3 linked regions of the Astyanax mexicanus genome follow. The protein of the gene in region 3 interacts with the protein of the main gene of each other region in a biochemical or structural test. Links are inferred from orthologs where the notes say so. Each region holds a gene or a part of one and is shown on either strand. Other genes may lie near its edges.

Region 1 (6,998 bases), on a different chromosome or scaffold from region 3:
TGCACCACACACAGGAATTTCTCTTTGGACTGGAAAAAGACTCTTTTTGCATGTATTGTTTCCATGTTTACTATTTGAGAAATGTTTTTTAAATCGTTGAGAAATCAGAGGAGAGCCTGCCTCTGACTTTTGCCTCAAGCTTGTAGTGTGTATAGATTTTCATTTTTCTGCAAGACAGTTTGACACAGCCAAACAAGAGGATGTTGGAATTGAGCTGAAAGTGAAAGCTACAGTGACACTGGTGGACATTTCGGATCGTGATCTGTGGATGGAATTACGAAGAGGTAAAGAGAAAGAGCTGAGATGACTGCTGGATTTATAGTGTTATTTATTCATGGTTTGAGTGGTGGTTTAAAAAAATGAATCTTTAGATAAGAACAGGATAATAAAGATGTGCAAAAAAATACTTGATGTACAAATTCACAACCAAATTGCCAAAAAATGATTTTTTTTTTAAGCTATTTTCTTCCGAAAAATTCTGAAAGTTCATTATTATTTGACTGAGCTTGGTGCCTTTAAAAGCAGTCAACACTCTTACGCATCCTCAAGTTCACTGGGATGTGCCTCTGATTGCTTTAGAAGACTTTAGTGCTATTTTTTGCCTATGTTCTAAATCTAAAATGCTGTAAGTTGTTTTCACGGGTTGATCTTAAATGTGAACTCAACCTATTAAACAGCTGTTTATTAACTGCTTTCTGTGTGTCCCAACAATCTTGAAACCTATTTAATGCTGGCGACTGTGCCTCAACTTTTGTTGTTATTGTTTATAAATATCTTCTCAACAGCCCTGGATCATTGAATGGTAAAAGACAATTGAGGCAAGAAAGCTTTTGATCTTCAAATTCTTTAAGTATTGTCATTATGCTTATCCACTTGTACAGTATAATACAATGATCTCTGCATATTCCAGCTGGGAAAACTAGGATCAGAGTGAAGGGCCTTTCCTACAGTAGCATTTGAGTGAACCTGGGTCTAGAACCAGTAACCCAGCATTCTGGTGACTGAGCCACCAATGCAGTCAGTTAAGGCAATGACTGAACATTAAATTGGGTCCCTGCCTGGGTTATTTGGCTCTTTGCTGTGGTGGGAAATATGTTTAATGTGGTTATTGTGAATGAAAATGCAACCAAGGCAACCAAAATATATTATTTCCAAGCTGCTAACCTTGGGTTAAACAATGAACATTTGTATTAACATTTTACCTGAAACTGCCAAAAACTGCCATATGTCATTTCCACCTTTCATTTTGCTAATGACCTTAATAAATGAAAACTACTACTCTCTACATGATACACCTGTGATTGACATTTACCTAGAATTCACATTGTATTTCTAATAAATGATAATGAAATATAAAGACATTGATGACTTCAATTGCAAAATGTTCATTTATACTCTATACAATTATTGGCAGTTTTTAGTAAAATATGTTTTTTTTTCTAGTTAGGGGGTGTCCTGCCCATTATATGTTGTGACTACAGCCATGATTATTAGTCCTACAAATGACTGAAGACAAATTTCACCAATCATGTCTTCACTAATGCATTGGATTTTGATTTTGTCTTCACTGGTTTTTATTGGATAAATAAATGCTGTATATGCACTTGTGGTTGAGAAAGAAAGGATATATGATGTAGATACCAATGTATGCAGTCTTTGTATGCAATATTCAGGCTACAGATGTTATACGAAAAATCTATGGTCATCTGTGTTTGAGGAAGATTAGGTCAAATTAGGTCCTTCAGTTTGGGCAATAAGTGCCCAAAAAACACCTTACTAATAATTCAAATGTCTGGTAGACCTCTTATTAATATTCTGAAAATAATACATTAGCACTAACATTAATACAGTGGAACTTTTTTGTTGTTGTTCCAGATAAAAGGTGGGTCCCGATAAAACCACTTTGAAGAGCCGTAACAGTAGTTACACTACAACTGGTAGACTACAGTCACACAGGTAGCTATGACTTCCAGAAAGCCCAGAAGAAGAGGTTTTTTTTCTCATGAATTCTGTTCCACCCACTGGTTAATTCCTCTTTCAGTTCCTGATTATGCTGCTGGTTAAACTGATGTATTTAGCTCTTCAATTCTGTTCTTAAAGTCAGAACAAAACAGAAGAGGAGCAAGTTGGATTAAATCTAAACAGATTTCCATTCATCTACGTCTCTGTTTCTTCGTGATACCTGGAATAATCACTAGGTAAGAGGCAAGGATACCTCCAGGACCAGATGCCAGTGCAACACAGGGTACTACCTACTCATTCATTCACACTCAAGTTGGTGGCAATTTGACTACAATTTGTGTTTTTGATAGTTGCAAATGGAAATGTAACAACTGTGTGGCAACAAGTCAGATTCGATTTAATATTTTTACATTTATTCGAAAATTACTTAATTGTGAAACTGCAACGACATGCGAATGCCATGATAATTCCAGACTTTACATATTGTCTGACAAGTTGGGTATAGGCTAACAAATCTACACTGAAGCCACTTGATATTTAAACACACTCTTGAGTGTGTTTGCCCACTCTTGGTATTTTAATCTTAGTGGCTTCATGAGGTAGAGTCACCTGAAATAGTTTTCTCAGCGTCTTGAAGGAGTTCCTGGGGGTCCTGAATAATAGTTGCTGCTTTTTTCTTCGTGCTGTGAAGCTTCAGCTCATCCCAAATCAGCTCAAATCACCATCTCAGCTGATACGGTTTAGGTCACATGATACTAAATAATGTGTCCCTAATTTTCATGTCTTTGATTTTAATCTACAAAATAAATAAATGTAAAATAAAATATAAAAAGAAATATAAAATAATAAATAATAAAATAAATAAAAAATAAAATAAATAATACAATTAAATAATACAAATATATATATAGAAAAAAAACATTGGATGAGAGAATGTGTCCAAACTGTTGGGATTTGAAATTGAATGGCAGTTCCTCCTCACTGTCTGAAATGCTTTTCTGGGGGAGAAATCTTTGTGTTTGTGTCCTTAATGTTCAAAGCTGTTTTACACCACAAAATAAGCTTTTTGGTTAGAGGATAAATTCTGGTACTTCATATTTGCGGTCTTGTAAAGCAGGCCTCGCTGTTTCTCCATTTCTCCCTGTAATAAATAACTGGAATTGAATGCTGTCAACAACTGGATCAATTTTACTGTTGCTTCAGAAGAGTCCACCTCCTCCTCCATACGACCCGGTAGGTGGTGGACATGTGTGGTCTGGCAAGAGTGGAAAATACCATCGTGTGTGATGAGCAGAAGTGGGTAACCCTGGGACCTGGGTTACCCACCTCTAGTAATGAGTGACTACAGATGAATGTGCTTCTATTGGAGGGAGGATTGGATTTTAGAAATAGGCAAATCAATAGTTATCAAATAATAACCGCTGAACTTTGTGTAACATTGTTCATTGTGTTCATTATGTTTGTGCAGAACCAAGCTAATTTATTTTGTACATTAGTATGTCCCTCTAAAACGGTTGCAATTTCTCATGTGGCCTCTTGGGAAAATGAATTGCCCACCCCTGGTCTAAAATGGTCAGTGTAACATTTATTAGTTTAATTTTCTGACTGTACCAAGCTTAAATAAAAAATAAGGTATAAAACTTCATATTTTTTCCATTTTGTTTAGTGAAGAGTTAATTCACTAAAGTCATTATTTAGTTTTTTTTTATTTCAGCCTTACACAAACATAATTTCGAGAAAAAAATAAAAGTTTTATCTTCTCTTGATAATCATATTTGCCCATTTTTGTGTCTTGTAACACAAAGCTGATGTTATAATCCAACTTGGATGAAAAAGTATTTCTTGTACACTGCACGACATAAAAAATGTTTTTATTTCCAATTTTCTAATTTTGCATTTTTTTCTCAAACGGTCAGAAAATTAAGCTGCTAAATGTTACACTGACCTGAAATATCAGTTTTTAACCGAAATCCTGCCTGAGTGCCGAGTCCCTCCTCCCTCCTCCACGCAGCTCCGCAGACCCGCCTACCCACTCATGTGCTGCTGGTTGACGCTGCGGTGCGCTGCGCTCCGGGCAGGTGGAAGGAAACACCCGAGAATAACATTATACACCAGCGGAGAAAGACCTCCTGACTCGTGACAGTTTAAACTACAGAAAAACAACGAAACCAAAATGTTCAGACGAATATTACAGATGGTAAGAATAAAGGAGAATCCTGCAACGAGGCTGCATCAGTAGCTATGGCTTTAGTATGTTTAGCTAGCTGGCTAAGCTAGGCTAGTTTTGCTAACGTAGCGGCCGTCAGTGGAGGCTTGAATGGAGGCCTGTATTAAAAAGGCAGTAAGAAATAGCTAAGCTAGCTAAGCAGGGGTGTGTCTATTAAACTGCTATTTTAAAACATATATAGTAGGTCAGTAGCTAAATGTAGCTGCCAGACAGGGCAAAACAACGCAAAATTGCTTGTTTACTGTTATGTACTGCCCTGTAAACAGTACGTTAGCTAGCTAACTTACTAGATAGCTAGCAGGCTAGGCTAGCTAGCTTTAGCCTAGTAACTGTGACTAGCCGTGGTGCCGAAAGGCTAGTAACGCTAGCTCAAGCTATAAAGCTGTCATGGGCTCATTCTGAAAGGTTTCAACTAAATAATGTTAAGTTCACCCAGTTTATTAGTCGTGGGAGTAATATTAGTTGTTGAATTAATGAGAGAGAAGTTTGTTTCGTTGTTGTCAAGTGTTTTTCATTTATTCCAGGGGCTTGTGTAATGGTTTACTGCATTCTGTTGAATGTTGGCCACTTTCTGTTTCTGTCTGTGACTGACCAGCTTCTTCACTGTAGATTATCTAGGTTAACTACTAATGCATCTAAAAAAAATGTTATCATTCATTGAAAAGTTACATAACTACTTTAGTAATTCAGTGCAAATGGTGAAAATCATATATTATATAGATTTATTACACACACACACACACACTGATCTATTTTAAGTCTTTATTTGTTTTTTTGTTTATGATTATGGCTTATAGCTAATGAAAACCAAAAAATCAGTTTATGAGAATATTGAAATATTATCTATATAAGACCAGTTGGTACTATTGGCAAGCTTAGCAATGTGCCAAGTCCTACTGAAAAATGAAATCCACATCTCCATAAAGTTGTCAGTAAAGGGAAGCATGAAGTGCTGTAAGATTGTCCGGGAAAATACTGCACTTTTTTTGTACTTGATATAACACAGTGGACCAAGACCAGCAGATTTTCCCAGTAATTCTTGCAGCACTTCATGCTTTCCTCTACTCACAACTTTATTTAGATGCGGGATTCATTTTCCAGCAGAATTTAGCAAGATGTCCACACTACCAAAAGTACCGGTTGGTCTTATATTATATTCTTCTTTACTAAGACACTGATTTTTGGGTTTTCATTGCCTGTATGGCATAATAATCAAACATAAAAGAAATTCATGTTTATAATTTAAACAGCTTTTAAATCTTATGGCAGAAGTAATCGTTGACTTATTTAAAAAAATAAATAATCAGATTAGTCAACTACCAAAATAATCAGTAATTGCAGCCCTACTTGACTGGTCCTTTTAAGAAAAATGCAGTAGGAGATGGGTATCCGTGTGCTAAGACTTGTTTGTCTCATTGCTGGATTGGGAAGGATAAGGGTGGACCAGTATTTGGACACATTCTACTGTCATTCTATTAGAAGACTTTTTTTATTAGACATGTTGTAAAAGCAAGTTTACAGTGTTAATACAAGCAAGGAAGAGCCAAATTGTCTTAAGCACATCTTTATTGTGACAGAACACTTTAAGGGGCAATTTTACCAGATAGAAATTAAGCCTAGTTTTGGACTATGCAGCATTTGAACTGAGATTTTCCATTGAAAGGAAACCTTGTCTCTGTCAGGGAAAACAGCCTAAGTGTCTGTCCCTTGTCTCTATGTTAAAGTAATGTCTGAGGGGAGAAAGGCTACTGGCTGCTGTTAGTACAAAAGTATATTCATTACTCCTAAAATGTGTCCCGACTATTATATAATTAAGTATAGTTACAGAATGTATTTATTATTAGGTTTATTAGGTTTTAATAGCCATCTAAATAAACATTGGCTCAGACAACAGGAGATCTCTCTTGATGCCACAGCCATCTGTAGCCAAGAGTTCCGAGCACAAGAGTACAGTTGGCCTAGGATGGCCCTCTCCCACTACATCACTTGGGGAGATGTTTCGTCCCACAAGCCCATTCAGCTGTCCAGTTTTGGAAAGATAGTTGGAAAAGGAACGGTTGACTGGCACATGCTTGCCTTCTGGTTGCATTAGGAGATGGTGTTAGAAGTTACTACGTGAGCGAGAGAACTGGGGCATTACAATAATCTGAAGCCCTTTTGGAATGACTCATTTCCCTGGAAAACCAGTGGGCAAGTGTTGCATTGTTATTTTAATACAACTTACTCTTACTGCACTGACTTTGATTTAGCCTACTTGGAAAAGTGAGTGACATGCCATGTGGTGTCGTGTAATATTGTTTGAATCACCAGTGGCTGCTGTTTTCCGGTTGCTAGGGTCAGTGTTTGGTGAGGAGAAATGTATAACGCTTCTCTTAAGCAGTATTATGTTTCAAGTATATCCTCAAATGTCCCTAATCAACAGCCATGCCAAGTGCAACCATAAAGGGCACAATGCTGTCACACTATTTTTTTAAAGTTCACCTTCCGCGAAAATCCGATTTTTCTTGTTTTTTGTGGAATACAGTAGGTCTCTCCGAGTTGAATGTGTACACCTGCACATTAAACTGTTTTGCAGCCCCCATTGTCTGCAGGAGCTAAGCAAAGAAATCCCCCCTCCCCCCCTCCGAAAAACGGGTGAATTTTGAATTATCTTTCTGCCTACGTAGGCAGAAACTCACAGACCAGCCCACCTTGGCTCGAGAAACTCCCAGAGGCGGAGCTGAAGCGACGCAACATCACCGCTCATCAGTTAGGAGGTGGGAGGCAGTGAGCGGCAGAGCGGTGGAGGGGCGTCGCAGTGCTCCTAGCC
Region 2 (7,974 bases), on a different chromosome or scaffold from region 3:
GGGGTGAAATTAGATCTCTCTCGGGCGGTCCAGTGAGGAGTCCAGACGCATGTCTCTCAGGCAGTCCGATACAGTGCGGAGTCCAAACGGATCTCTCTCAGGCGGACCGGTACGGCATGGAGTCCGTGCAGAGCAAGGGTGTTGAAAATAGAATCTTCAGGCGGTCCGTTACGGAGCGCAGTCTGCCTGGAGCCCGGGGGTAAAGCAAGATCTCTCTTGGGCAGTCCGCTACAGAGCGGAGTCCATTTGCAGCACAGTGTCTGACATGGCATGAAGTTAGCGTGGAGCACAGGTGGTGAAGGTAGATCTCTCTCAGGTCCAGCACGGCACACAGTCTGCAGGGAGCACGGGGGGTGAAGCTAGATCTGGCTCAGGCTGTCCAGTACGGTGCGGAGTCCACACAGAGCATGAGTGGTGAAGCTAGATCTCTCTCAGGCGGTCCGGTATGTCGCGGAGTCCGCACGGATCTCTCTCAGGCAGTTCGAAACAGTGCAGAGTCTGCACGGAGCAGGGGGGGTGATAACGCGGGGTGAAGCTAAATCTCTCTCAGGTGGTCCGGTACGGCGCAGAGACCGTACGGAGCATGGGGGTGAAGCTAGATCTCTCTCAGGCTGTCCGGTACAGCGCGGAGACCGCATGGAGCACAGAGGTGAAGCTAGATCTCTCTCTGGTACAGTGCAGAGTCTGTGTGGAGCACAGGGGTGAAACTACCCAGATAGCAAGTGTAAGTTGGCTCAACGTCATTGTTTACGTTGGTTTGACGTTGGGTGTCAACCAATATTTGACGTCTCAGTGCGGTTTAAAGTGACAGTGTTTGTAAACAGTAATTATGTTGGGCGTCAACCAATGTTTGATGTTTGGCCTAGGTTGGCCTAATGTTGGCTTCTGACCAGTTAACATTAGCAAGACAAGGGCTTTGTAAACCTTTATATAGTAAAATCTATTAGCCCACAAATATGTATAACTGAATGTAAAAAGAATGTTACGTATTAAATAACCATCAAGAATGTGAAAAAAACAACAATAAATGATTGCTAAAATAATTTACTGAATGTATTTTGAAGTGGAAAAAACATGTATGTGATACATAACTAACACTAATATAAAAAAAACCAGTGGACATGGAGTCAGTCACTGAAAGAGAAAAAGAAGACTATTCTAAATGAATTATTTACATTTTAAAATTATACATATTTATTGCTAGTTAGTGCAAAGTAGTTTAAAAGCCAAGTAATAATTACATCAAGCTGAAATATTTTGCCTTCCTTCTACAAAATGTATTTCTGTTAATTTGATTTAAAAATAAATAAATAAACAGAAAGAGATTATGTAGAAGGAATGTTACATATTTAACTTGATGTAACTATTGCTTGGCTTGGCTCTATATATATATATTCCAACATTTTCGGCCACAACTGTATATACTGTATACTTTAAAATATATTTTGAATAACAGCATTATATTATAAATTATTATATATTATCTTAATTTAACCTTACCCCGCTACATTTGAGTTTATCCAACTGCGTTTAGGTGAATTCAGCTTCAACTAATTTAAATATGAACACACACAAGCCTGAATTAACGGTCGTTTTTCCCTGCGTGTAAATGACCACGCGCTTCAGAATCTCAGCATTTGTTTCATGTACAGCCTGTGCATGGTTTAAAGCACATGTGTCAAACACAAGGCCCGTCCTTTTATGTGGCCCGCGAGAGCTTGTAAAATGTTAGTGTCTATAATAAATAGGTCAGAAGCGTGCTTTGACCAAAAACTACATTTCCTACAATGCTTGTCGATTGTGTTACCCGCGAAGTTACGGCTTACTGCCACTACACGGCAGTGTAGTCATTGATGTGGAAACCCTGCCAGAGGGAAGGCGTAACTTCGCGGGTGTAATTGAGACATACAAATGTTTATCCCATAATGTCCAGAAAAAGAAAAGTTGTCACATGTTCAAAAATCTGTCACATGTTCTTAACAGCTCACAATTTTTTATTTTATATTTATTAAGGCTTATTTCAATATCAAACGTTTTGATCAAAGTTAATATAACTTGATGTCATTATATTCACTTGAATAGTTTGGTTCTTGATTGATGGAGTTTTTGGATTTCATAACATGACAAATTAAAAGGATTTATGTTAATAGAGCAACAAGCAAACATTTTTTCCATGCAACTGTAATATTTGATTGAATAAATAATATATTGAGAGTTATTTAACATTAAGGAGTAATTACATTCATTTTATATTACATTTGGTTACATTTTATTACATTTCTAAGTTACATCTGGCCCTCAGAGGACAGCCAATATGCCAATGTGGCCCTTGGCTAAAATGAGTTTGACACCCCTGGTTTAAAGGCTTAGACTTCACCTGTGACAGCTGAAGTGCTCCGTGTACACAACACACACACACACACAAACAAGATGGGAGTCAAAGTGCCAACGTTGTTTTGGATGCACACACCTGTTTTGGAGCATGACTGGAACACGGCAAGCTGCGGTGTGTGTGTGTTCTGTGCCCTGTGTGTCTGTCTGTGGGTTTTTGTTTGTTTCCGTGAACACGAGCCATGGAGGAGCCATGATCCAATATTCGTGTGTGAGACTTGACAGTTTGGGAATAAACTAAAGACCAAAGTGAGACTGACATTGGAAAAACGTTGGCATTTTGACGCCGACCTCCGCTGCTTAACGACCTTTATCCAACGTTCTAAAAATACTGCCAACCACAGACCAACGTTGCTCTGACGTCGAATTTCTACGTGTGACATAGGCGACATTTGCCAATGTTGGGCCAAAGTACTTGCTATCTGGGTAGATCTCTCTCTGGCGGTCAAATACAGCATGATGTAACTTTAGGTCCCTCTCATGTAACATACAGTCAATATAACGCTAGATACAGGTTTAAGAAGAGTTTAGAATTGCCGTATTTCTCCTCTCTCCGCTCGCTTGTATTCTAAGTTCTCCGTCTCTCCTACTTTGTATAGATTCAGCGTCCTAAATTTGTGTCTGGCTAGGGGTGGTCGGGGCCAAGGGCGTATGAGCCACCCTATAGGGTCCTAAAACAACATTTGTGGAATTACTTTTAATTACAAGTAATCCCTTTTTTCTGTTTATTATTAGTTACATCCAAGTAAAGGTGACTTTACAACCTAAACAAGTTACTCCACATTACATTTACTATTGTTAGAAAAAAAAATATGCGTGCAATGTCTGAATTATACGGAGCCCCTAAAGGGACGTGGTGTATTTTTCTTTTTACATAGAAAGTGGTGAGCACCACTTACTAAGTCGTGGGCACCACATACTAAGTTGGAGCACCACATACTAAGTCGTGAGCACCACATACTAAGTCGCGAGCACGACTTACTAAGTCGTGAGCACCACATACTAAGTCGTGAGCACCGCATACTAAGTCGTGAGCACCACTTACTAAGTCGTGAGCACAACATACTAAGTCGTGAGCACCAGATAATATATAAAGATAATTCAGATAATTCTATAAAAATATGCCAGTTATCACCCGATAGTTAAAATAATAACAACAGATTTGGTTATTATTATTATTATTATTATTATTATTATTATTATTATTATTATTATTATTATTATGCATTGGCAGGTCAATTCTGTTGTATAGTTACATTTTCTTCAATCTTTAAAAAGAAACATATTAGCATTGGATCCTGTGCTTTAAATTTTTATGCACTTCTATAATGGAAAACACACAATTTTAGGGCAGAGACCAGGATTAAGAAACTGCTTTAAACTACAGACATAAAGTACTGGACTAAATTCTGGCCATCCACAACATCCAGCTAGCTAACTAGCTTTTTTTCCCATTATAGTATACAGTAAGTCCTGTAATCCTAAATGAATGAACACAAATTGAAAATGAAATAGTGATTAGCTGATAAGGTACATCAGGGCAAGCTGAACATTACATAGTTTATTTTTTCCTTAAACCTTGAATACCTATCTATCTAATTCCAAAGTTAAACAAATCCACCTGTCTCTAATATCCCCCCGGTTCCTATGCCAATGTTCGGGGCAGACTACTCTCTGTGGTGTTTTGAAATTGGACTGCTGTGATTATTTTACGTGACTTAAAGGGTTTGGAGTTGCCTAGTCAAAGTCTGGTTGATATGCTGTGGTATGACCTTAAACAGAAAATTTTTGCTCGAAAACCTTCCAGTGTGTCTGAATTCTGAAAAGAAGAGTGGACAAAATTTCCTCCACAGAGATGTGAAAGACTCCTTGCCAGTTATTTGTAAAGCTTGATTGCAGTTGCTGCCACCAATCAAGTTATTAGGTCAAGAGGGCAAATACTTTTTCACACAGGGCTAGATTGGATTGGAATTTTTTTCCCTATAGTAAATACAATTATCATTCAATTCATTCATCATTTTTTATATTTACTCTTATCTTAATCTGATATTAACGTTTGTTTGATAATTGGAAAAATCTCAGTATGACAAAAAAGCAAAAACAAAAGAAATCTTTAGATGGGGAAAATACTTCTTCACGCTACTGTATGCACTGTTTAATTATTACATTGATTTTGAAGTTTTTGTTAATGTTTTTCAAGTAAATTGCCTTAAATATGTTGTTTCAATTCATGTATTTAGTTAGCAGTCATTATCCTATAAGAAGTGCAGATTAACATAGAACACATTTTGTTGGCAATTCTGCCTGATCGCAGTGTCCCTTCCGAGCTGCCGTATCAAAATCTTTAGATGGGGAAAATACTTCTTCACGCTACTGTATATGCACTGTTTAATTATTACATTGATTTTGAAGTTTTTGTTAATGTTTTTCAAGTAAATTGCCTTAAATATGTTGTTTCAATTCATGTATTTAGTTAGCAGTCATTATCCTATAAGAAGTGCAGATTAACATAGAACACATTTTGTTGGCAATTCTGCCTGATCGCAGTGTCCCTTCCGAGCTGCCGTATCAACTGAACGTGGGTCACATGACCCACCGTGTGATGAGGCTGCGCTGCTGCTGCTGTCGAGCTGAGTTTCACCTCCTGCAACTTCACACACTCTTACACGCCCCAACACACATTCTCCCATTCCCCGGAGCCGCAGCGGACTGCGGTAAGACCCCGCCGCGGCTCTGAGTGACTGTACGCCGGTGTAATTGCGTGTTTAAATTGTGCGGAGGCTCCTTCCGCCGCGGCTCTGCTGCTGTGTTATGCTGTAACGGGGGTTATAACAGTATCAGCTCCGACACAGTGCCGTTACTGAAGGTTTTTTACTGTCTCTAAAACGTTTAACCGCTATAATGTACTATCCTACAATCTCTCAGGACTGTCGGAACAGTCCGAGCTCATTTATTATCATTATAATACAGCGTTCATACACGCCCAGTTAACCTGCACGCAGCTAGCTAGGTTAGTTGGCTAACGTTAGCAAGCTAAGCTAACCGTTTAAGCTTTTGTTAACGCGTTATAAATCTCATCGGGTATTAATCGTTAGCTAACTAACGTAGCTAACTATATTAGTACACACCGTCTGTCGTTCTAAATAAGACTTAGAGTACCAGTAATTCGAAAACACCTTAAATTCTGTGTTTTTTAAATGTTCTGTATTGTATATTAATACCAAAGTCATCTAAACATCTGAAATTATTTAGTAAACAAAAAAGTGTTAAACAAACCAGAATATGTTTTAGATTTTTATTTTTTTTAAAGAAGCACCTCTTGCTTATTTGACTATCTCTGCATTTTCTGTGTTTCTATAAATAAATAAGTAAACAGGAGAAAAAGAAACATGATATTCAGATGTTTTATGAGTAAATACTGATCCTGAATGCTGAAGCTGTAAGGTTTAACACTGATTGATAGAGAAGACAAAAGAAGAGATTAGCAGGGTCTGGTCTTAAACAACAGTAGAGATGAATATAGACTCCTTTGTGTGTGCTGTAACTAATTATTAATGATACCTAATTACTAACATATTTACTGTATTTCTCTTTTCAGAGTGATGGAGAAGGTCTGGAGTGTGTGCTGCCTTCAGTCAGATATGCTATGAGCTTTTGGATATCACCCATTGTGCCATAGTACACCCAGCACATTTGTTCAACCCTTGACCCATGGCCTCTAGTTACCCTCCTCCGTTTGAAGGCTCAGCTGAGGTAAAGGAGGGCTTCCTTTGCCCTCTTTGTCTGAAGGACCTGCAGTCTTTCTATCAGCTGCAGGACCACTATGAGGAGGAGCACTCTGGAGACAGCCACCATGTTGGAGGACAAATAAAGAGTAAGTGCTTTTTAATACATTACCTTGGTTAAGTGGTTCAATCAATGCTTGACTTGGCCAACAGATTTTAGTGTTACAATACCAAAATTATGATATTTGATAAGATACTCCTCTAAATATCTCTACGTATTTCAAAGCAAAATCCAAAAATGTCAGAAATTAAGCTATTTTTTGTTTTTTAAATTTATAATTAAAAAAGGAAAAAAAACATAAAGATGAATACATTAAGAATAAACATCATTGTTAACATCTTTATTTATTTATTTTTCCTTTTCTCTTTAGTAAGAACATAATAGGTCTTTGAAATATCTTTGATAGTTAACTTTGTATTTGCAAGTAGAACTCACTGATTAATCTTTTAATGATATTATGGCATTATACATCTATGGTAATCGCAATTCCTAGCAATAGAAATTCGTATTATATATGAGCCATGATTAAATTTACTAGTACAGCTGAGAGTGCCTGATTTTTATTATTATTTTTAGTTTTTCTTAAAGTTAAGGTACAGGAAGTTTGGGCCAGTCCAATTGTATAGAGAGCCCTATTAGTGGTTATTTAAAAAAAATAAAAAACAAAAAAAAACATAGTTATTAGCCTACTGAAAAAGACACAAAAACACTCCCACTCCTCTGAGTTATTTTAGAGGATATAAGCATGATGTAATTGTTTTCTATAATATTCAATAAAGGAATTCTCAGAATTATTAAAACAAGTCTGCAGTTCTGTGTAGAAGATGCTTTGCTATTTGGAGCTGTTTCTCGTCTTTCTCGTCTGGTCTGCAGGTATAAAACATACTTAAGAGACGGGTATTGATGTTCATGGCTTATCTGACTGTCAGATTCGTATGCTAAATAATTCCATATTTGGCTTTATGCGTGTACTTTATGTAGAAACTGAGGACTGTCGGGAAAAACGTTGGTATTACGCTGTGTTCTGTGCAAACACACTGCCCCCGGTGGCACTCCTATTTAAAAATATTCTCATTCTTACCAGTACCAGTACTGCCGACCTCACTCGAAATTCCATAATTCATGTTACCAAGCTGGCTTTACTCACAAGATAAACACCTTACAATTTAAACCAATGTGGGTCTTCCCAAGTTGTCCCCTGAGGTACTCTTACTTTTGTTGTGATTTTTTTTTTTTTTTGTAATGTGGTAAAGCCAGAGGCTGCGGTCTGAGTTCTCGTTTGATAAAATAAACAAGTCTGAAGCTTGTTTTCGGTACATTTATACTTCTGACTGCCACTACTTCCACTACCAGTCATTACAGTACCAGCACAACTGGTGCACTATTCTATTATAGGAATCACTTTGATATATTTTCTATGTTGTCACTCAGGTTTAGTGCAGAAGGCAAAGAAGGCCAAAGACAAGCTTCTGAAACGGGATGGAGACGAGAGAACTGAGACCAGCTATGAGTCTTTCTACTGTGGAGGAGTGGACCCCTACATGTGGGAGCCTCAGGAACTGGGTGAGACTGAGGGAATTACTGCTAATGACAGAGCACAATATACCTGGCACATTGTAATTGGAGAACTTTGTATTTCTCTGATACCGATAGAAACGTTGGACTGATAATATCAGAAAAGGAAAAAATAAAAAAAAAAGTCTGAATGAATGAATTCACAATGTCACAAACTTATTTGTAGCTGAAACTATTGCATAGTCATCAGTTGACATTTATTATTTCAGTATTGTCTTTTCC
Region 3 (7,329 bases):
GCAGCTTTATCTGTTGTATAAGACACAGTGAATACCAGTAGTTTAAGACCCTCAATCAGTTGATTCAAGTGATTCAGGATTATAAAGGTAAAACTACATTAATAAAAGAAAAAAAACATTACCTTAGGCAATGTAGACTGACTGTTCTTGCCCTTAGTAACAACTACACAGCTGTATCAGACACAGGAATAGTTAATTTCCTCAATTAAATTATTTAAATGTTTGGGGTTCATCAATGTAAACGTGCTTGACTAAAAGTAAGTAACTACATGACCTCAGGCAATGTAAGCCAGGTACAGCTGTATCTGTTGTTTCAGCCACAAGGAATAGTTAATCTCCTCAATAAAATGATGAAGAGAACAAGGTTTTTTAAAAGTAAACTACATAAACAAAACTACAAGTAACAACATGACCTCAGGCAATAGGCTAACTATTTTTGACCATAGAAACAGCTACAGATACAGTTATTTAAGTTGTTTCAGATGTAGAAATAGTTAGTCTCTTCAATCAAATGAATCAAGTGAAGGTGATTTATAACGGAAAATATAAAATGAGTTATTCAGAAATATACACTATATGGACCAAATTATTGGGACACCAGGAGATGCATTGTTTCGTTCAAAATCAAGGTCTTTAATAAATAGTTTATTGTAACTATGAACTGTCTCTAATATCCATAAAAGGCTAGAATGAAATAGAATGAAAGTTGGCCCGCTGTTAAGCAGGTTTTTATAATGTGAGATTCAAAGTTTGAACGCTAGGTGTAAGAAACGGGCCAAAGAGTCTAAAAGCGGCGAGAGTGAAGTTGTAGCGCAGAAAAACGTGCCAAACAGTCTAAAAGCGGAGACAGTGCGCATTTCTAGCGCCGAAAAACGGGCCAAAGAGTCTAAAAGCGGAGAGGATGCGCAGTTGTAGCGAAGGAAAACGGGTCAAAGAGTCTAAAAGCGGAGAGAGTGCTCAGTTTTAGAGGAGAAACACTAGGGCTGGCCCGAATAGCGTTTTTTGAGCTCCGGATATTCGGCACTGATTCGAAGCGAATATTCGAATATTCGTTTTTAAAAAAAGAGGTAAAAAAAAAAAGCAAATCACGGCCCCTTTAATCCACTGAAAAATGTTCAATTTGCTCTGACCGACGAGACATATTCACCCCGGATTTTTGGTGTTTTTATCCCGGATTTTTGTGTTTTCACCCCATATTTTTTCTGTGTTTTTAGCCCAGATTTCTTTGTGTTTTCATCCCGGAATTTCTGCTGCCCCACACCGAGGCTGCTGCTGCACGGTTTCTCCGCTGCGCAAGCCAGCCCAGTAAATTGCTGTTTGTGTTTTCACACTTAGGCTATTTGCTTAAAAAAACAAACAAAAAAAACGTTTGTTCAGGAAGTATTTTATATTCTTAAACATTGTTGATTATATTAGAGGACAGTCATTGTAAACTGTACTTGGTCTATTTCAGTTAAAGGATTGTGCAGGGCATATTACTGATTTTGTATTTTTGCACTTGGGCTATAAGCTCAATATTAAATATTTCGTTTGTTTAGAAATTATTTTATATTTTTAAACCATGTTAAATTATATTAGAGTAGAGGAAAGTCATTGTTAATGACGTTATTGTACTTGGTCTATTTCGGTTTAAGGATTGTGCAGGGCATAGCCGTATTACTGATTTTGTATTTTTGCACTTGGGCTATAAGCTCAATATTAAATATTTCGTTTGCTTAGAAATTATTTTATATTTTTAAACCATTTTAAATTATATTAGATAAGAGGAAATTCGTTCAGACATCATTTTTGTAGGCCAGGCTTTTGTAACCGATTTAGCCCCTACTGTTGCCACATTACCCCTTACGTTTTATTATATAAATCAGTTTCGAAGAGCCTGCATTTTTTTTTATCATGTATAATAGAGGTCTGCGCGAGACTGATTTTTAAACCCACTCTTCCACGCTCCCGCGTTTCTGTCTCGTTACCGCTCCGCAAAAAAATTGCTTCTTTTAATCCCGCGCCCGCCCGCCACATACACATTTCTGCCGCTCCCGCCCCGCGTTCCTAATATAAATTAAATAAACTACATTTAATGCTTCAAATTTACTTATATATTTATTAAAACAGCAGCGCTGAATAGTGTGGTCCCGTTCCTTACCCCAGTCCAAACACCATCGGTGTGTGCGTGTGTGTCGGTCCATCCTGCGCGTTGAGAGTTTTCTTTAGGTTTTTTTTTTTACAATTATTACAGTTTTCTTAACTATTTATTAATTTGCTCCCGCATCGTCTGGATTAAACTCCCGCTCCAGCCAATAACAGTTCAGTTCTGTCCCGCGCGCAAGATATTCTGACGGGACCCGCGAGAACAGAAGTGGTTAGAGTGAGGTGGAACTCTGGAAAGGAGAAAAAAAACGAATATCCGAATACCAAAATTAAAAACCGAATACCTACTCAACGAACGAATATCCGAATACCCGAATATTCGGGTCCAGCCCTAAGAAACACGGGCCAAAAAGTCTAAAAGCGGAGAGGGTGCGCAGTTGTAGCACAGAAATCGGGCCAAAGAGTCTAAAAGCGGAGACAGTGCGCATTTCTAGCGCAGAAAAATGGGCCAAAGAGTCTAAAAGCGGAGAGGATGCGCAGTTGTAGCGCAAGAAAACGGGCCAAAGGGTCTAAAAGCGGAGAGAGTGCTCAGTTTTAGCGGAGAAAAACGGGCCAAAAAGTCTAAAAGCGAAGAGAGTGCTCAGTTTTAGCGCAGAAAAACGGGCCAAAGAGTCTAAAAGTTGCCGTAATTAAGGAGTTTAATATTAAGAGACCTCATGAAATGAAACATCAATTTGAAAAATCTTAGTTTACACAACACTGTCAAAGATAGATAAAGATAGTAAGTCAAGTAAAATGGTGTGTAAATGAAAGTAATGAGGAAAATGTATTATTTAAAGTGGTGTATTTCATTATTTGTTTTATTACAGAGTCTGTGGCCCGTGACTTCAAATATATTTCTTCTTTCTGGCCCCCAACAGAAAAAGTTTGAACACCCCTGCTTTAGGATGTTGGATGGTTGGATGGCTTTCCATCATTCAACACAGTTCCACTCTCCCACAGCTCAATCCTGGGGGCTTTATATTCCTCCACTTCATTTCTGGCATTTGGCATGATGTCAGTAAATTCAGAGAATTTTATTCTGTTTGGCAGTACTTTTCTACAGAGACTAGACATGCTGTATGGATGCACTTTCACATCTATGTCAAAAATGAGTGTTAGTAGCGTATATTTTACATACCAGAACTGTGGATGATATATTAAATTAAGGAAGCAGACTGTTACATAGAAGGATCAAGATATTAAATTGAGGGAACAATTGAGGGACTGGACTGTTAAAATGAGGTAGTGATTTAATAAATTTGTGGAGCAGTTTGTTTGGAAATTATTTATTAAATTAAGGGAGCACACTGTTAAAACGAAGAAACATGTTACTAAATTGAGGGAACAATTTATTGAACTTAGGGACTAAACTGTTAACATGAGGTAACAATTTATTAAATTGGTGGAGAAGTTTGCTTAGGAATGATCTATTAAAATTAGGTAATGATTTGTTAAATTGATGGAGTAGTTTTTTGGGAATAATTTATTAAATTAAGGGAGCAGACTGTTAAATCAAAGAAAGTTTTTTAAATAAAAGGATACAATTTATTAAAATAAGAAACTGGACTGCTAAAATGAGGTAACAATTTATTAAATTGGTGGAGCAGTTTGTTTGGGAATGATCTATTAAATTAAGGGAACTATTTTTTAAACTATGGGGCTAAACTGTTAAAATGGGGCAATGAATTATTAAATTTGTGGAGTGGTTTGTTTGGTAATGATCTATAAAATTAAAGGAACTATTAATAAAACTAGAGTAATTGGTTACCTAAATTAATGGAACGATTTTTTTAAATTGAGGGAACACCTTATTAAACTAAGGAAAAGAATGGGAAAATTTAAGGGAACACTTTTATTGTGTTAAACTGAAGGAGTCCGTAATTAACTAAATTGAGAAAACGATACAGATAAATGAATCACATAGGAATACAATTAGTATTTCAATAACTATAATACGACATACTTTTTACCTCATTTTACCTCAGGTGGGGAGGGGACGCCCAGTCAGTCAGTCATATCAGTCGAGGCTTTTAGAGGCATTAAGCCTAAAGTACAAGTAAATGTATCCTCAGTCTTTTATTTGACAATATTCAGAAAGAACTAAAATCATCCAAACTTCTGACTCTGAGGAAACACAAGCAACACTTCCCCTCTCTGTCTGCAGGTGAGTTGATCTGACTGGTGCTTCTCCCAGTCCGTCAGCAGTAAAAGTCCCTGCGCTCGGAAATAGGAGGATCGCTGAGGATCGCTGAAGTCGCGGAAGCGAATGCCGGCGGGGCCCGTGGTGAGAGAGGCAGCTTTGGGGCGGCGAGAGGCAGGAATTGCGCTCTGACCCTGAGTCAGTCTTCCGTGTGAGAGACTCTAAGGTAAATCCAGCACGTTTTTATTCAGTTAACAGCTTTTTTCTGGTCGACACTGTCGATGGCAGGTATTAAAACGTTGGTTAGACAGCTGAACGGTCATGTTTATCGCCTGTTAGCTTCTACGTTGCTGGCTAGCGTTAGCTTAACTCACTCCCCAGCCTGGAGTTTAATAAAAGCGTCTCCTGTCTATTTAGCTAAACCTACTCTCTTCTTGTGAGTACACGTATTAAAACTCTAACGCTAGTTTTACCAGTGACACCAGCTTAATTAGTTGGCTTATAGCTAAGCTTAGCTATCTTGATTAGCCTGTTGACATAACAACAAATTCAGAAGACTGTTAGCTAACGCTAGTTTAGCTAGCTAGCTTAGCCAGCTTAGCCAGTGAGTGGATTGGTGTCTGCAGGCAGCTTCTGCTTTTTCGAGCTTGTTGGCGTTGTTAATAAACATAGATACGTCCTCTATGTCGTATTCACTTATTAACTGTGTATTTGTGCGATTAAAACACATATTTAGTTGGTTTGGTTGTTTATTTGTCGCTAGTCGCCATTAAAAAAGCGTTTGCCCATTTAGCCTTTGGTCACTATTTTATGTGGACACTGTGTTGCTAGCATATCTAGCTTAGCTAACCATATCTAGCTAAAGCGACTATTAAGTAGAGGTGGATAAGCCAGCTTTAGAAAGTAAAAATCCATCCCAGGTTTTTGTACCAACTCCCTGGGCGGTTCAGCTGCAACAGAGCCGCCCAGGCAGTTGGTACAAAACTCTGGGAGGGATTCTTACTTTCTGGAGCTGGCTTACCCACCCCTTCTATTGAGGTAACGTTAGCGTTATGTTAGCTAGCTTAGCTATGCTTCTAAGAGAAAGCTTTTGCCTTTTATAGTTTGTTTGTTTGTAAGCATGTCGCTAATGTCATATATTTTAGAGGTTAATTGTGTTTCTAAACATGACAAAAAAGTCCTAAAAGTGAGCTTATGAGACATGGGTTTGTGTTGGGTAGGGTTCGCTAACTAGCTAACCCAACCTAACGTTATGTGATTATTGTTGGAGATGTGTTTGGGGTTAAGCTAGCTAGCTATTTAGCTATTTTGTTGCTGTAATTTAATAGCTAAGCTAAGCTTGTTAGTTAAGTTAGCCTAGTAAGTTGAGTTATACTCATCTTATGCAGCAGGATCAGAGCTCAAGTTTTAAATGTCCCATTTAACTAGCCAGCCAATCTGCTTAGCTTAGCTATCAAATGGAGGAGGAGTGGTCATGCACCTTAGTTAACCATTTCCATCTTAAGATACATTTTTAATCAAAGAGTCCATGTTCTTATGTTAAAGGGAAGCTCTAGTACTGGGAATATGTAAAATTAGGTGCGTGTCACACAGAAATCGAAAGTCAGCTAATTCTCAAGCTAAACCAGACCAGCCACAGTAGCTGGCTAGCCAGCTGAGTCATTGCTGTAGCCTTCACTTTGAGTTTCCTGTGGCCTACGCCTGTCTGAACTTGTCTCATAAAGTCAAATAACTGATATGAAGACCTGGTTTGTGGTCAGTCGTGTTAACTAGAGTTAGTAAGTGTTTTGGGCTGAGTCATAGTGATAAAAGGTTATACCACTGCCTCTGTTGGGTTGTTCTGATGGAGCTTCATTTTTTTTAATGCTGTTTCTTAACCTTTGATACCCAGTAAGGATTTAGCTATGTGACCTGACATAACACAAGGCTGACCATGTTATATAGCTAAGTTAGCACAGGGGTGGACTTTTGCTCTCTAGCATTTTCGAATAGGCTACACATGATGGTGTCTTGAGGTTGATCTTCGCATGTTTTTATCACTTTCACAGTGATGGTTTGACACCTCATGGCTGAAGCTGTGGCTTGACATGTGATGACTGATGTGGAGAGTAGTTTTTTCTCAGCTAAGAGCAGTTTCTAAAGGTTTATTTGTGGCTCAGGTAGTGCTGTGTGTTCTGGGCATATTGTTGATGTTAAGATTTGTATTGTATAGGGCCTTTTTATTTAAAAAACACTTGTACCTTACAGGACAGAACAATTGGATAATAAAATCAAACCCCTGACCCACTCAAATTCAATTCAGTTCAATTTTATTTATATAGAGGTTTTTACAACAAAAGTTGTCACAAAGCTGCTTTACAGAGAAAACAGGTCCATGCCTCTTGTGATTTGAGCACTACAGAGATGCCAATAATTGTGATGAAACCTTAAGTGGAACCAAGACCCGCTCAGTACAAACATATAACAACAAAACAACAGCACAGAGAGAACAGGGCATCTCAATACATGTGAAAGAGATGGTAAAGAAAATAGAAAGAGAAAAAAGCTGGAGGTTGTGTAATAATTCTGCTGAATAGAAGGACAGGGCTGAACCACAAATCGCCATCAAACACAGTATGATTTTCTAAGAACATAAACATAGGGCAACCAAAAACCTTTTTTTTATGTTTTTTTGATGATGTAAATCAGGACTCCAAGGTTAAAAAAATAAATCAATAATCCAATCAAAATCAGATTTCTAAAGTTATTGCCCACCTCTAACCCAAGCCAAGATTTTCTGCTGTTATCAAGCCTTCCATATCAATACACTATCTCTATCTGTGCAATATCAATACTGCCAAAGCCAGTATCATGACAATGATTAACTGTCAATAAATTTTGCACTACTACACTCCTAAAAATAAAGGTGCTTCACGTAGTTCTTTGAGCAGTGCCCTTAGAGAACCTCTTATTGTCCCATAAAGAACCACAGGATATATTCTTTAACTTTGTTAAAATGAGATAAACAAAAACATGTATTAAATTTACTTCCCTTTTTATGGCATAGTTTAAAGGACCAAATA

The links. The genes of interacting proteins can lie anywhere in the genome.
Region 1: the proteins of rab5c (region 3) and eea1 form a complex in vitro, tested with the Homo sapiens proteins (2 studies listed by BioGRID and IntAct, with this or other methods). The link is inferred for Astyanax mexicanus from reciprocal best matches to the Homo sapiens genes RAB5C and EEA1.
Region 2: the proteins of rab5c (region 3) and rabenosyn-5 form a complex in vitro, tested with the Homo sapiens proteins (2 studies listed by BioGRID and IntAct, with this or other methods). The link is inferred for Astyanax mexicanus from reciprocal best matches to the Homo sapiens genes RAB5C and RBSN.

Annotation. Positions count from the first base shown.
Region 1 is NC_064416.1:21,085,726-21,092,723, forward strand, and holds the start of eea1 (early endosome antigen 1), read left to right. Parts: upstream 1-3,979; 5' UTR 3,980-4,135; coding exon 4,136-4,159; intron 4,160-6,998. UniProt on the Homo sapiens protein: Binds phospholipid vesicles containing phosphatidylinositol 3-phosphate and participates in endosomal trafficking.
Region 2 is NC_064419.1:14,644,893-14,652,866, reverse strand, and holds the start of rabenosyn-5, read left to right. Parts: upstream 1-4,955; 5' UTR 4,956-5,105; intron 5,106-5,989; 5' UTR 5,990-6,102; coding exon 6,103-6,265; intron 6,266-7,608; coding exon 7,609-7,740; intron 7,741-7,974. UniProt on the Homo sapiens protein: Rab4/Rab5 effector protein acting in early endocytic membrane fusion and membrane trafficking of recycling endosomes. Required for endosome fusion either homotypically or with clathrin coated vesicles.
Region 3 is NC_064426.1:26,224,219-26,231,547, reverse strand, and holds the start of rab5c (ras-related protein Rab-5C), read left to right. Parts: upstream 1-4,324; 5' UTR 4,325-4,493; intron 4,494-7,329. UniProt on the Homo sapiens protein: The small GTPases Rab are key regulators of intracellular membrane trafficking, from the formation of transport vesicles to their fusion with membranes.